2 linked regions of the Arabidopsis thaliana genome follow. The protein of the gene in region 2 purifies or fractionates together with the protein of the main gene of each other region. This does not show direct contact. Each region holds a gene or a part of one and is shown on either strand. Other genes may lie near its edges.

The links. The genes of interacting proteins can lie anywhere in the genome.
Region 1: the proteins of MAD2 (region 2) and AGD9 purify together in Arabidopsis thaliana (affinity purification with mass spectrometry, with the first as the bait; one large-scale study listed by BioGRID). This does not show direct contact.

The regions. Positions count from the first base shown.
Region 1 is NC_003076.8:18,967,500-18,973,664, forward strand, and holds AGD9 (ARF-GAP domain 9), read right to left. Parts: upstream 4,483-6,165; 5' UTR 4,319-4,482; coding exon 4,250-4,318; intron 4,150-4,249; coding exon 4,031-4,149; intron 3,825-4,030; coding exon 3,401-3,824; intron 3,316-3,400; coding exon 3,055-3,315; intron 2,963-3,054; coding exon 2,837-2,962; intron 2,752-2,836; coding exon 2,650-2,751; intron 2,559-2,649; coding exon 2,451-2,558; 3' UTR 2,237-2,450; downstream 1-2,236. Other genes in the region: UBP21 (ubiquitin-specific protease 21), read right to left, coding at 1-14, 108-218, 304-424, 511-993. UniProt on the Arabidopsis thaliana protein: GTPase-activating protein (GAP) for ADP ribosylation factor (ARF).
Region 2 is NC_003074.8:9,498,925-9,506,481, reverse strand, and holds MAD2 (DNA-binding HORMA family protein), read right to left. Parts: upstream 3,427-7,557; 5' UTR 3,251-3,426; coding exon 3,175-3,250; coding exon of another isoform or gene 3,171-3,174; exon of another isoform or gene 3,087-3,170; coding exon 3,071-3,086; exon of another isoform or gene 2,970-3,070; coding exon 2,839-2,969; intron 2,757-2,838; coding exon 2,636-2,756; intron 2,542-2,635; coding exon 2,438-2,541; intron 2,343-2,437; coding exon 2,221-2,342; intron 2,140-2,220; coding exon 2,080-2,139; 3' UTR 1,812-2,079; downstream 1-1,811. Other genes in the region: AT3G25990 (Homeodomain-like superfamily protein), read left to right, coding at 1-301, 583-621, 901-1,029, 1,132-1,356, 1,434-1,636; AT3G25970 (Pentatricopeptide repeat (PPR) superfamily protein), read left to right, coding at 4,261-6,366; AT3G25960 (Pyruvate kinase family protein), read right to left, coding at 6,550-7,557. UniProt on the Arabidopsis thaliana protein: Required for the execution of the mitotic checkpoint which monitors the process of kinetochore-spindle attachment and delays the onset of anaphase when this process is not complete.

The DNA.
Region 1 (6,165 bases), on a different chromosome or scaffold from region 2:
ATCAGATGAAAAATCTGTGATTGGTTAAGGATAACCAATTCATATAAAGAAACCTCCAACACAAAATTATGCACATATATAAACAAAAAACACTTAAAAAAGGATACAAGTCAAGTTATCACGAAATCTATCAATGTTTATTCCATATCCTGAAGACCTCAGAGCAAGCTCAATATGATCTCGAAGAGCTTGCATTACACAGAACTTCTCATTTCCACCTGAAAACCCAAAGAAACTATAAGATTAAAACCATGAACGAAACAAGTCACCAAACTCAAATCAAACCAAATAAGCAAATCTTACAGTTGCAAGGGTTTCCATACATGAATGAACGAAGACTATCGATAAGAGGCACAGTATGAGTGAAGCACTGTAACACAGAAGCTATGAAACAAGTGTTGCCTGAATTATATAGCCCAGCCCCCTGAAGAAATTGTATAAAACATCCAAAATGATTCAATTTCGGATACCAAAACAAAATCAGATAAAAAGGGAAGAAGAGAAACTTACAACACCGGTGGGTTCAATCCTCGGATACCACCATGATAACTGTAGAGGTTTTGTTGGTTCCATCTTATTAAGCTCGTCGTCATCGCTTTCATACTCGATGTATCTCCTTGGTGGACGATAAAGATACGAATCTGACGTGTTCGTGATCCGGAGATGATTGTTGTTGCTAACAGGCGAAATCTGAGCTGGTGGCGCAATTAGGGTTTTATCTGACGGAGAAGAGGAAGACTCATCTGGGTTCACATCTCTGTTTTCCTCTGGATTGAAATTTAGGGTTTTGTCCGGCGGAGAAGAGGAAGACCCGTCTGGTTTTGCCGGAGAAAGGGCTTGAATCTGACGAATCGGTGAGGAAAGAGAGAGCGAGTTAGTAACAAGGTCTCGAATTGGCGCGGTTGGTGAAGACTCATCTAGGGTTTGGTTGGGTTTAGTTAATTTATGAGAAGAAGAGAGATTAGATGGTGGTGGGTCACTAAATTCCGCCATTAACAACAAAACCGAGAACGGATTTTGTGAAGAATTGAAGGAAAGGGGAAGAAGTGGAAGCTAGGGTTTAGTTTTGGGAGAATTCTGCATCTCGTAAATCGATCTGTAAGTAATTGAAGAAGATAAATTTGAGTTTCGCTCCAAAAAAGTTGGGAAATTTTCGAAATCTGAGAGCGAATCGAAACGATTTGGAGGGAAGATGAGAATTGGAGTGGAGAAGAAGGTTTGAATTGGGAGGGAAAATCAAGCCGCCATTTATTTGGGGATTTAGGGTTTCTTTTGACCTTTTCCACAGATAAAATAAGCGTAATTAAACGTTGATTAGGTTATTTGGTTAACTCAACCATGGTTCGCACTTGGTTTTGGAAGTTTGGATTCTCAGAGACTCTTTGACCAATTATATTTTTTATCTTTAAACAAGTTTAATTGACAAAACCAGAACTGTCGAAAAAAAAAAAAAATGACAAAACCAGATTTTATTTTTTTGGGTTAAATAGTTGAAGGAGGAAGGAGAACAATAGGGAAAAACGCAAGTTGATTGTTAATTTGTTTATCAATTTATTGAAATTTAATATTGCTTTTATTTGTGTTATATACTTTACAAAATAAAAATATATACAGTTACTTTTATCATTTTTTTCCTAAAATCTAGATTTATTTACTTTTTCCAAAAAAAAATATTGTAAAAATATTTCTAGTTACTGTATGCCACATCAATTTTTTTGTCAGTTTGTTTCTAAAAGCTAAATTAAATCATTTCTTTAACAAATAATGGAAATACTAACATTTCTATATTATTATCTTCTTTATATTGTTGACCAATTTAAAGTTTTCATTAGCCTAAGTTGATCTTACGTTTTCTTTATATTGTTTGCCCAAATATAGCTTTCCTATATCTTTTTCAATATAGTTTTCCAAGTTTAACGGTTTACTATATTGTTGACCAAATTTCTTTCAAGTTAAAAAAATTATATATTTTACTTTCTTGTAAAATCACCTTTTTAGTCTTATAAATTAAATTTATTCAGTAATAAATATAACTTTTAATATAAAATCCTCATAATCAAAATTTAATTATATTATAATAAAAATGGAACTATTTTAATAGAAATGCCGATATGGTCAAAGAAAATCCATCTGCTCACTTTTCTCCTTTTTCAATATTAGTTCTTTTCAACAAAAGTTTTGATTGGTAATAAGTTCTTCCTCTTATGCTGAGTTCTTTTTTTTTTTTTTTTTTTTTGCAACCATATCAAGGGAATAAATTGATGTTCAATACCATACATAATACTGTAACATATTCTACCATATCCACATCAAATTATCAAATTCCACATTTAACAATTTACCTCAAAAATCACTCTTTCAACTACAAAGTCAAACCAAAAATAAAAATGACATTTATATCCAACAATTTGTTCTCTGTAAATCAAAAGACAAGATCCTTTGTATGTTTCTTACAGCATTCTATCCTGAAGATCACTGAATATACTAGAGGCAAATGTTCCCAGCTTATTCTTTGTTTCCTCAGCTAAGTTAGCAATAGATGACATATCTTGCTGCGCCTGTGCCCAATAATAAACAAAGTCAAATAAAAAAACCTTATAAGCAGAGTTAAGAAAAGCTGAAGAATTTGATTCTACTTCAGAACTTTACCTGGAAAGAAATTCGGTTGATGAGATCGCTTGCAGTGATATCGATGTTGGAATCATCTGGTCCGTGGCCAAAAAGATCAGAACTTGAAATAGCTGCTGAACCCTGATAGATTTGTAATCGCATTAGGCATGTATGAACAACGAGACTAAAGAAAACTAGTATAGAGTTTGATCGGTTAAGGACATACCGAGAACTTCTGAAGGGTAGCTTTTGAGTCAAGATCGGCATCTCTGTTCTGATTTCCGAAAAATTGGGCAGAGGAAATCGATTTGGCGTTTGAAAACTTCTTTCTTGCTTCATCTGTTTCTTCAACCTAAGTAAAAAGAAAACAGGTAAACAAAGAGGAATCGAGAATTGATTTCTATCTCTTTCTTCAGTTCTGTTAAAAATGAAACTTTTCTTTACCTGAGCTTTGGATGAGCTTGAGCTTGACTTCTTGGGGAAAGCACTGTCCATTCCAAATTCATTAAAGAAATTTGATGACTTTGGTGGAGCAACATGGCTAAGCACCCGTGTGCCACTTTGCCCACCAGATTGCTCATCATCAAAGTACTCAAATCGAGAGGCAAATGATGATCCAGCTGCTGATGTGTCATTGGTTGGAGAAGCAGCAGGAATCACAGGTACAGGTTCTTCAGGCTTCTGCTCATAGAGGTTATCCTTTGACTACATATACAACAAATACTAATCTAATCAAAACCAAGAACCGAGAAGCTAAGCTATAATTCTTTATAAAAACGAAAAACGTTACCTTAGTAGTAAGCTTACGAGCACCAAGACCACCAGTCTTCCCAGACTTTCGCGAAACAAGAGGTTTCTTAAACGTACTAGCAACAACTTTCTGAGAAGCTTTTGGTGAAGAGACAACAGCTGCTTCTTGCTTCAAAGAACTCTCTTTCGGAGATTCAGAAGTAAACCCATTTTCAGATGATTCCACTGGCTGAGAAGTAGCAACAGAGGATAACGACGGTAAAACAGTTTCTTCAGCCATGGCTTTAGCAACTTCTTTAGCAAGAGTCTGTCTATACATATCAGCAGCTCTTGAAGTATACTTAGCCTCAATCTTACCACCATCATTCCATCCATGTTGCTTAAAAAACACCTGAGCTCGATTGTTCCCTCCAAACATCATTGTTCTTAGCTGCTCAGGACTCCACGAGTCTAAGTTCGTTGACCTGCACAAAAACAATATGATCTTATAATAGATCTACAACAACATGAAATGCTATAAATAGAGTGGTCAACAGGAAAAAATAAGTCAACATCTTCCTAATCACAGCTTAAACCCTAGCCAGAAGGTGAAACATTGCTACAAGTCCATGAAGCTAAAAATTAAGCCTAAAGAGTTCAAATTTGTGTTCCTCAAGATTCAAAGTTTTACCTGACGAAGCTGATATGAACACCTAGACTTCGATGAACAGCAGAACAATCGATGCATAGGAAGATCCCATAAGGAACAGAAGCCCATGTTGGATTCTTCGCACTACAATCAAAGCAAACCTAAAAACCGAAGCAAAATCATAAATCAATTCGGAAGATTTAGGTCGTATAAGCTCCAGATCTGAACGAAATTCAAAATCGAAAATTGAGTAACCCTAACCTTGTTCTCGGATTTTGATTTCAGCTTTCTGAAAACAACATTCTTATCGGTGAGATTCTCAGTCGCCATCGTTGAAGAGTTTAGAGATGTTTCCCCAGAATCTGGAAATCTGAAAGTGGCGATTATGGATCGACTCTTCTTCTTCAAAGCAGAAATTTTTGTTTTTGTTTTTCTGTTATCTTATTTGTTTACGTTTTTTGATTAGAGGATCAATACTAAACTCGATGGGCTTGTATGGCCCAATAATGAATAAGCCCATATTTGTATTTCGTAATTTCGTAGATGTCATTATTTTTATATGAAAGTCACACAATTCTAAATCAAATGTAAACTCTAACCATAGTCTAAATCCTGTAAAAAACTTCTAATTCTTTAATCACAAAACTTAACCATAAAACAGAAAATGAAAAAGGATAAAACCTCATCGCTAAATTTTATCATGATTTTCTCCATCTTGTTATTAGCGCAAAGAGGATCGCTTGAAAGATGAAGACAGAATTGTGAAAAATTGAAAACCAAAATAATTGTTAAATCCAAAAAATCGACTTGTTATGGAAGTACATTAAGGTATTAAATTAGGTTATCTTCACTAATTCCTCTCGAACCTTTTACTTTCTTTCTTTTTTGATAAAGTAAAACTTTTTACTTGATACAATGTTTCTGTGACATGTAACATGTTTATCAATGTCTTGTAAGAAAACTGGCAAGAAGTAGAGATATTTTATTATGTAATGTCAATAATCATATGTTAGTGTACGATTAGTGGGTCTAAAGTCGTTTTGTAATTACATCATCCACGAGAATCACGTGAGCTGGATCATTTTAGCCATCGTGATTAACCATTGAATATTATTGTACATGTTGTCCTTTTCACTGACTACTTTTCTTCTTCTTTCTTTTTTTTTCTGGATATTTTGTTTATAAGTAATGGTTGGCATTATCATGTGTAGTTCTTTGTCAATAATCATGTGTAACTTTGACAAAAAAATCATATGTAACGTTTTAAAAAATTATATACTTTGGTTGGTCATTATAGTTTTAGCCAAACGATAAAAAATTTGATGAAAAAAATGTGGTTAAAGAAAACTTACAGTATACCGTGACAAAAATATGAAGATTGTTAATAAATAGATATGTCAATTATGGTGACAGAAACATGGAAAGCAGACAGACGATGCCTAGACAGAGGACCCAAACAATTAAAGTGGGCTACACAACATAATTCCAATATTTAAAAAAAGAAAAAAACAATTTAAAATGTCTAAGAAAAAATAAATTCGAATATGAATTTTATAGAGAAAATACAAATTTTATACGTTAATTTCTTCCTCTTTCAAAAATTGAACGGAAGTTGCTATGTTGTTGGATACATTATTATTTGAATATATATTACAAATAATTTTTAGGACTAGCAAATCATTTTTTGAGTTTTCTTTTTATGGTTTTCGTAGTCAACTCCACAACCGATAGTTTTACATCGATGCTTGTACAATTTTACAGTTTGACAGATGGTACTGTACTACGACATACGGTTCTATGCACCACACTAAAATCTCTAGATAGAAATCGTTTCCATTAATCTTCAATAATTTGTAATCTATGAAAATCAAACTTCATATATGGTGTGATGAAGTATTAATGGATATTTAGTTAACCATTACACCAAAAAAAAATTTACACCGGATAATTATTTGAAAACGTAAATTTCATATTAACGGTTCAAACTGATTTTTAATAAAATGAACATAATGAAATGATATTTAAAAAAAAAAGATGATTGGAGAAAGAAAACACTTTTAGTTTTTTCATATATATTTATTTTCCTATAACTAACATAAAATCAGTTGAAATATTATTTTAAATTCCTAACTTAATTGATATAAATTGAGTAGAATCTATTTTTTTCCTTTTAAAAA
Region 2 (7,557 bases):
AACACTTCCAAATCTAACAAACATCTCTGGGAACAGATTTCTAAGAAAATGAGAGAGAAAGGGTTTGATCGATCACCATCTATGTGTACGGACAAGTGGAGGAACATATTGAAAGAGTTTAAGAAAGCTAAGCAACATGAAGATAAAGCAACAAGTGGAGGATCAACGAAGATGTCTTATTACAATGAGATTGAAGATATTTTCAGAGAAAGAAAGAAGAAAGTGGCATTCTATAAGAGTCCTGCTACTACTACACCATCTTCTGCTAAAGTTGATTCCTTTATGCAATTTACAGATAAAGGTACAATCTTTAGCTTGGTTTTGGGGATTCTGATTGATTTGTTGCAGGTTTGGATAAAATTTCTTAATGGGTTTTGGTTTAGATTTGGATTGAGAAGATAAAGACTGATCTTTTTTGGTTTTAGTTTTGTTCCTCTTTTAGTGCTAAACCTGGTTAAAGAGGCTTTTGACCATTAATGGCTAATTATAAAGTTGTAGATTTGGTTTGTTAAACTAGATTGACTTTTTATAGTAAATTTGGGTTTTCTTCTAAAATTGATCTTTATCTTTATCTTCTTGTAGGTTTTGAAGATACTGGTATTTCATTTACATCTGTTGAAGGTATTGATCTCACATTTATTGAATCTTTGAGTGTATATATAAATGGTGGTGTTGAAATCTTTTTTAGTTGGGGAATTACTTTGAGAGAAATGGTTGTATCAGTCCTAACTTTGGGTAAACAATTGTGCAACAACTTATGATTCTCTTATAATTCAGTGAAATAAAAGTGAACTCATACCAAATTGTAGAATGTTAGTGATAATGTGAAGCCGATTTTGTTTGGTTTGTGGAAGTAGTGTTAGTCACTTTAGTCTTGATATGAGTTGTATCTGTATGCAGCTAATGGCAGGCCAACGCTAAATCTTGAAACGGAGCTTGATCATGATGGTCTTCCTCTCCCCATTGCTGCTGATCCCATCACAGCAAATGGAGTTCCTCCTTGGAATTGGAGAGACACCCCTGGAAATGGTAAGTAACCAGACAATCTAACTTAGAGAGAGCCTCTCCTTGTTTATTAAGCTTTTGAACTTTTATGGCAACTACTACTAATCGTTGTCATGTTTGAAGCAGGCGTTGATGGTCAGCCATTTGCTGGGAGGATCATAACGGTGAAATTTGGAGATTACACAAGACGAGTTGGGATTGATGGTACTGCTGAAGCAATTAAGGAAGCTATCAGATCCGCGTTTAGATTGAGAACAAGACGAGCTTTTTGGCTAGAAGATGAAGAACAGGTTATTCGCTCTCTTGACCGAGACATGCCTTTAGGGAACTATATACTCCGCATTGATGAAGGTAAATCCACTCTTTCTTCTATGCTATTCATCGAATACTCTCTGGTTAGAGGTTTCTCAATATCCATTTGAATTCAGGGATAGCCGTTAGAGTGTGCCACTATGATGAATCTGATCCGTTACCAGTCCATCAAGAGGAGAAGATATTCTACACCGAAGAAGATTACCGAGATTTCTTGGCTCGACGAGGATGGACATGTCTGAGAGAGTTTGACGCGTTTCAAAACATAGACAATATGGACGAGCTTCAATCCGGTCGCTTATACAGAGGAATGAGATGAGAAAACGGTTACTACAGAAGGCTAGAAGAAACCTTTTATTTTTCATCAGTCACTATAAATAGCTTTTTTTGATCCAAAATACTTTATTTTCATCAGTCACTGTACATATGCACCTCTTTTGACATGCCATTGTGAATCAGAGGAATTTGATTTGTTTATTGAGAAATCTCTTTTTGATCCAAGAGCCATAAAGTTTGATTGGTAAACAAAACGGTTCAGTACAAGAGACAGGGACAATGAAAAAGCTGATAACTTTTGAACAAAACACAACACAAGTACAGGATTCCAATTCTCATACAATTCAGAAAAAGAAAAAAAACAGAAGAGAAAACGATATAGGTGTGTGAATAAAGGATTCACGTGCCTTTAAGAACAATGAGAACTCCCAAAGAGATAAACGCAAGCTGAACAAAGAGCCTTGCATACGTGTGTCCCGACTTCTGTTACTCTTCTTCATCCCACTCGTCGTTCTTGTATGAGACAAGCGTGTCGACTTTGTGAATCTGCAAAGTATGAAACCACCAAAATACTTAGACATTTCAAAGTGTATAAATAAAGGTTTCAAAATTCTTCCTCCTCCTTACCTTGGTATCAAAACCGTGTAACTTAACCATCTGTGGATTAGCAATCAACTTCGGGTCGCTCTCGATCCAAGTGAATGGAACAGCCACATCAGTATCCGTATACGCCAATACATCAAACACACCTAATACAAACAACATGCACAATCAAAAACGAGAATCCAAATCAAACTAGTTCCGAAATGATGATCACTCAAAGTTCCTATGAATTGGTTCTTACATGTTTCATCAAGACAAGGCAAGTAAGTAACACTTGAAGCAACCTGTCTCATAATAGCTTGAATCTCCCTCATGATCTCCTTATCACTCTTCTCCCTCGACACACTAAAAAGTTCCATAAAGATAACATAATGAAACAAAGAATCAAAGAAAACAAACAAACTTGCGAAAGTATCAACACTAAAAACAAAAAACTGACCCTTTGTCAACAACTTCATTATCAGTCTCAATACGAAAATTCCACCTCTCCAAGACTTCACCAGTAGCTTTACTCATAATCACTAACACTACTCTCTGCAACTTCCCAGCTTCAAGCCATTCTTTAGACCAAAAACAAAATCAAGTCTCAGACTCTCTCACAAAAGGAATCATTGAATAAAAGTCTGACATTTGTAAAATTACCGGAGATCTGAGAAGTGAGATTAGACATGAAAGATTTGACGGATTCATCTTCAATAAGCAACATCGGAAGTCCATATTTCTTCACTTTCACAAAACTTTCCTCTGGATAAACTGCACGATTATACAATATACTGTACCCAGAAACCAATAACGAATCAATTTCACTGTAAAAAAATCACAGAATCGAAGATTTCCAGACACTGAAATTGAAAAGTTCCGATCCAATTCTCACCTGTTCGCAGCGTAACCTGGAGGAAGAAGAAGAAGGAAAAAAAAAACATCAAATCGAGAAGAAGATATCTGAAATTGAGTCTAAGAAAAAATGAAGATACGTACAGAAGAATTCGCTGACGATGGCAGCAGATCCGTGTAAAGTGATGATATCTTTAGCAGCCGCTGTTTTGGACGCCATGGAGTCTAAGGATCGGTGATTTTGAAAATTGAATTCGCAAGTGTTAACAGCGTCGCTTAGGGTTTTAATGATTTTGAAGGGAAAAAAAGATATTTGAGGGAAGGATTAAAAAGAAGGAAAGAAAGAAAAAGAAAAAAAAAGGAATAAGAGCGTAACGGCTAGTCTTCCTCGGAAATGCACTTGCAACGGCTAGTTTGGGTTATTATAGTTTAAGGTCGAATCCACTAATTTTTTTTAAAAAAACAATATAATATCATTACCAGAATTTTTAAAATATCAAATATAAAAAAACAACAAATTATTTTTAGCCAATAGCAACATCTCTACAAACCATTGTAATAATTATTATTTTTGGTTTGCAACACATTTTACATTTAAAAGAAATACACCAAATATTAAATATATAATAACTTTGTTTTAAAAATTTAATAGAAAAGTCCATAGTTTTCTGCCATACGGATTTAGACTCGCCATGTGGTTTTTAACTTTTAAGCCGTATGTCTCTTTGATAAACGAATGAAGCATCAATCAAAATTTTAAGAAGCCTTTTAAGTGTTGAAAGGTAAATTTTGTAGTTTCTATTGGTAAATCGACTCATCTATGACTTTTTTTTTTAAATAGATTTCAAATATACTTCATATATATGTATATATAAATTTATGTCGTGACACCCATGACCGAAATCTAGAAAAAAAAAAAAAAAAAACTAAGGTATTTTTTTCCAGTCTAACTGAAAAAATACAATTTTACAAATAACTCAAACTTCAAATGTGTTTTGATTTACTTAATTAAGCCATTATTAATCCACATAAGGTTATTAACACAAATTTATCAAACTAACTAGCCACTTGATAATCCATTACTAGGTAAATTCAGGTATATATATAAGTTAATAATAAACTGATTATTTGACCAAAAAAAAGCATAATTAAAATATATTTTTATACATAAATAAAATAAAATAAACTCTCTTTGATGTTGACATCATATGAACACAGAGAAACAGATGAATGAAAGCGTTGTTAGCCTCTCTACTAGAGAGCTCTTTAAACTCTTTCCAAAAGCTTTCACTCACTCACTGTTACGCTATTAAATGTGGTTCCATCTCAGATATATACGTATCCAATCGAATTTTGGATTCTTATATAAAATTTGGCTTCTTGGGTTATGCCAATATGTTGTTCGATGAAATGCCTAAGAGAGATTCCGTGTCTTGGAACACAATGATTTCTGGGTACACAAGCTGTGGGAAATTGGAGGATGCATGGTGTTTATTTACATGTATGAAGAGATCTGGATCTGATGTTGATGGGTATAGTTTTAGTAGGTTGTTGAAAGGGATTGCTTCTGTGAAAAGGTTCGATCTTGGAGAGCAAGTGCATGGTTTGGTTATAAAGGGAGGTTATGAGTGTAATGTGTATGTTGGAAGTTCGCTTGTTGATATGTATGCGAAATGTGAAAGAGTTGAAGATGCTTTTGAGGCTTTTAAGGAGATTTCAGAGCCTAACTCTGTTTCATGGAATGCTTTGATTGCTGGATTTGTGCAAGTGCGAGATATCAAGACTGCTTTTTGGTTGTTGGGTTTGATGGAGATGAAAGCTGCTGTGACTATGGATGCTGGCACTTTCGCTCCACTTCTTACTTTGCTTGATGATCCTATGTTTTGTAACTTGTTAAAGCAAGTTCATGCTAAGGTTTTGAAACTCGGGCTTCAACACGAGATCACTATATGCAATGCGATGATCAGCTCTTATGCAGATTGTGGGTCAGTATCAGATGCAAAGAGAGTTTTTGATGGCTTGGGTGGCTCAAAAGACTTGATTTCGTGGAATTCGATGATTGCAGGTTTCTCTAAACATGAGCTAAAGGAATCTGCTTTTGAACTGTTTATTCAAATGCAAAGACATTGGGTCGAAACCGACATTTATACTTACACCGGCTTGTTAAGCGCTTGCTCTGGCGAAGAACATCAAATTTTTGGGAAGTCTTTGCATGGTATGGTAATAAAGAAGGGATTGGAACAAGTAACTTCTGCAACAAATGCATTGATCTCTATGTATATTCAGTTTCCTACAGGCACCATGGAAGATGCTCTGTCTCTATTTGAATCCTTAAAATCTAAGGATCTTATCTCTTGGAATTCGATCATTACAGGGTTCGCCCAGAAGGGTCTCAGCGAGGATGCGGTAAAGTTCTTTAGCTACTTAAGATCCTCAGAGATAAAAGTCGACGATTACGCCTTCTCTGCACTTCTCAGATCATGCTCGGACCTAGCAACACTCCAATTAGGTCAGCAGATCCACGCGCTCGCCACTAAATCAGGCTTCGTATCAAACGAGTTTGTAATCAGTTCTCTGATCGTGATGTACTCAAAATGTGGCATAATCGAGAGTGCACGAAAATGCTTCCAACAGATTTCCTCCAAACACAGCACAGTAGCTTGGAACGCAATGATTCTTGGATACGCTCAACATGGTTTAGGCCAAGTCTCTCTTGATCTCTTCTCCCAAATGTGTAACCAAAACGTGAAGCTAGACCATGTAACCTTCACAGCAATCCTTACAGCTTGTAGCCACACCGGTTTAATACAAGAGGGACTCGAGTTGCTTAATTTAATGGAACCGGTTTACAAAATCCAACCTCGAATGGAACATTACGCAGCTGCAGTTGATCTCTTAGGCAGAGCAGGGCTCGTGAACAAAGCGAAAGAGTTAATCGAATCAATGCCGTTGAATCCTGATCCAATGGTATTGAAAACTTTCCTTGGAGTTTGCAGGGCTTGTGGAGAGATCGAAATGGCTACTCAAGTGGCTAACCATTTGCTAGAGATTGAACCAGAAGATCATTTTACGTATGTTTCGTTGTCTCATATGTATAGTGATCTCAAGAAATGGGAAGAGAAAGCAAGTGTGAAGAAGATGATGAAGGAGAGAGGTGTAAAGAAAGTTCCAGGTTGGAGCTGGATTGAGATTAGAAATCAAGTTAAGGCCTTTAATGCTGAAGATCGATCAAATCCTCTTTGTCAAGATATATATATGATGATTAAAGACTTGACTCAGGAAATGCAGTGGCTTGATTCTGATAATGGGGTTGATGCAGATTCACTTCATGCTTAAGAGAAAATTTAGTTTAGGCCAAAACAAAACTTGTGATATAACTTTATTTAAAATTATTAGTTTGTTTGGGTGTTATTCAAAATTTCAACAACTACGACAAATAATGAAACTGAAAATTATGTTTAAAACTTTATTATCATGTGACCAAAAACAATGGTTAAACAAAAAAAGTTAAGAATTGGATTACTCGACGCTCACTATCCTGACAATAGATGAACCATCAATCTTGTGCAAAGCCACAATGGAATCTCCAGTCTTACAAATTCCCTTCGTCTTGGCAAATCCTATAGCTAATCTAATCATCTCCTCCGTTGAATCTCTAGCTGAACATCCCACCACCGGAATAATCCCACGGTAAATCAAACCACGTCTCGCCACATGAGCTACCGAGTCCGAGCATTCAGCAATCTCTGGCATAATCACCGACAGAATCGGAACGCTTGGCCTGTATTTAGCCACAAGCTCCGCCGTGTAACCGCCTCTAGTGAGAACAACGATCGCGGACGCGAAAACACTCCGCGCAGTCGAAACAGCTGAAGCAGCTAAGCTCTCGATTGGAGATAACGGTAACGAAACCATTCCTAGGGTTTTCTTGTGGAGAATGTCGTAATCTATGAAATCCTCTGCTTCTTTGCAGATCCTTGACATTGTTAACACGGCAGTCTCAGGGTGAGCTCCAGCAGCAGTTTCTCCGCTAAGCATAACGCAATCTGTCCCGTCAAGAACCGCGTTTGCTACGTCGGTAGCTTCAGCTCTAGTCGGGCGAGGAGAGACTGTCATGGATTCAAGCATCTGTGTGGCTGTGACCACTGGTTTCCCATGAGCATTAGCCTTGTTGATCATTGTTTTCTGAGCAAGAAACATCTTTTCGATTGGTATCTCCATCCCAAGATCTCCTCTAGCCACCATGAAAGCATCAGAATTCTCCAGGATCTTATCGAAATTCATTACTCCTTCTTGATTCTCCACCTTTGACATAAGCATGATGCTCTTTGAGTGCTCTCCAAGTAATTTCCTTACTTGGATTAGGTCAGATCCTTTACGAACAAAAGAGAGAGCGATAATGTCGATTTTGTTCGGAACTCCCCATTGCATAATATCTTCTTTATCTTTCTCAGTGAGTGTTGGGAGATCAACTACAATTCCAGGAAGATTAACGTTTTTTCTTTCTCCAAGAAGAGCAGAGTTCTC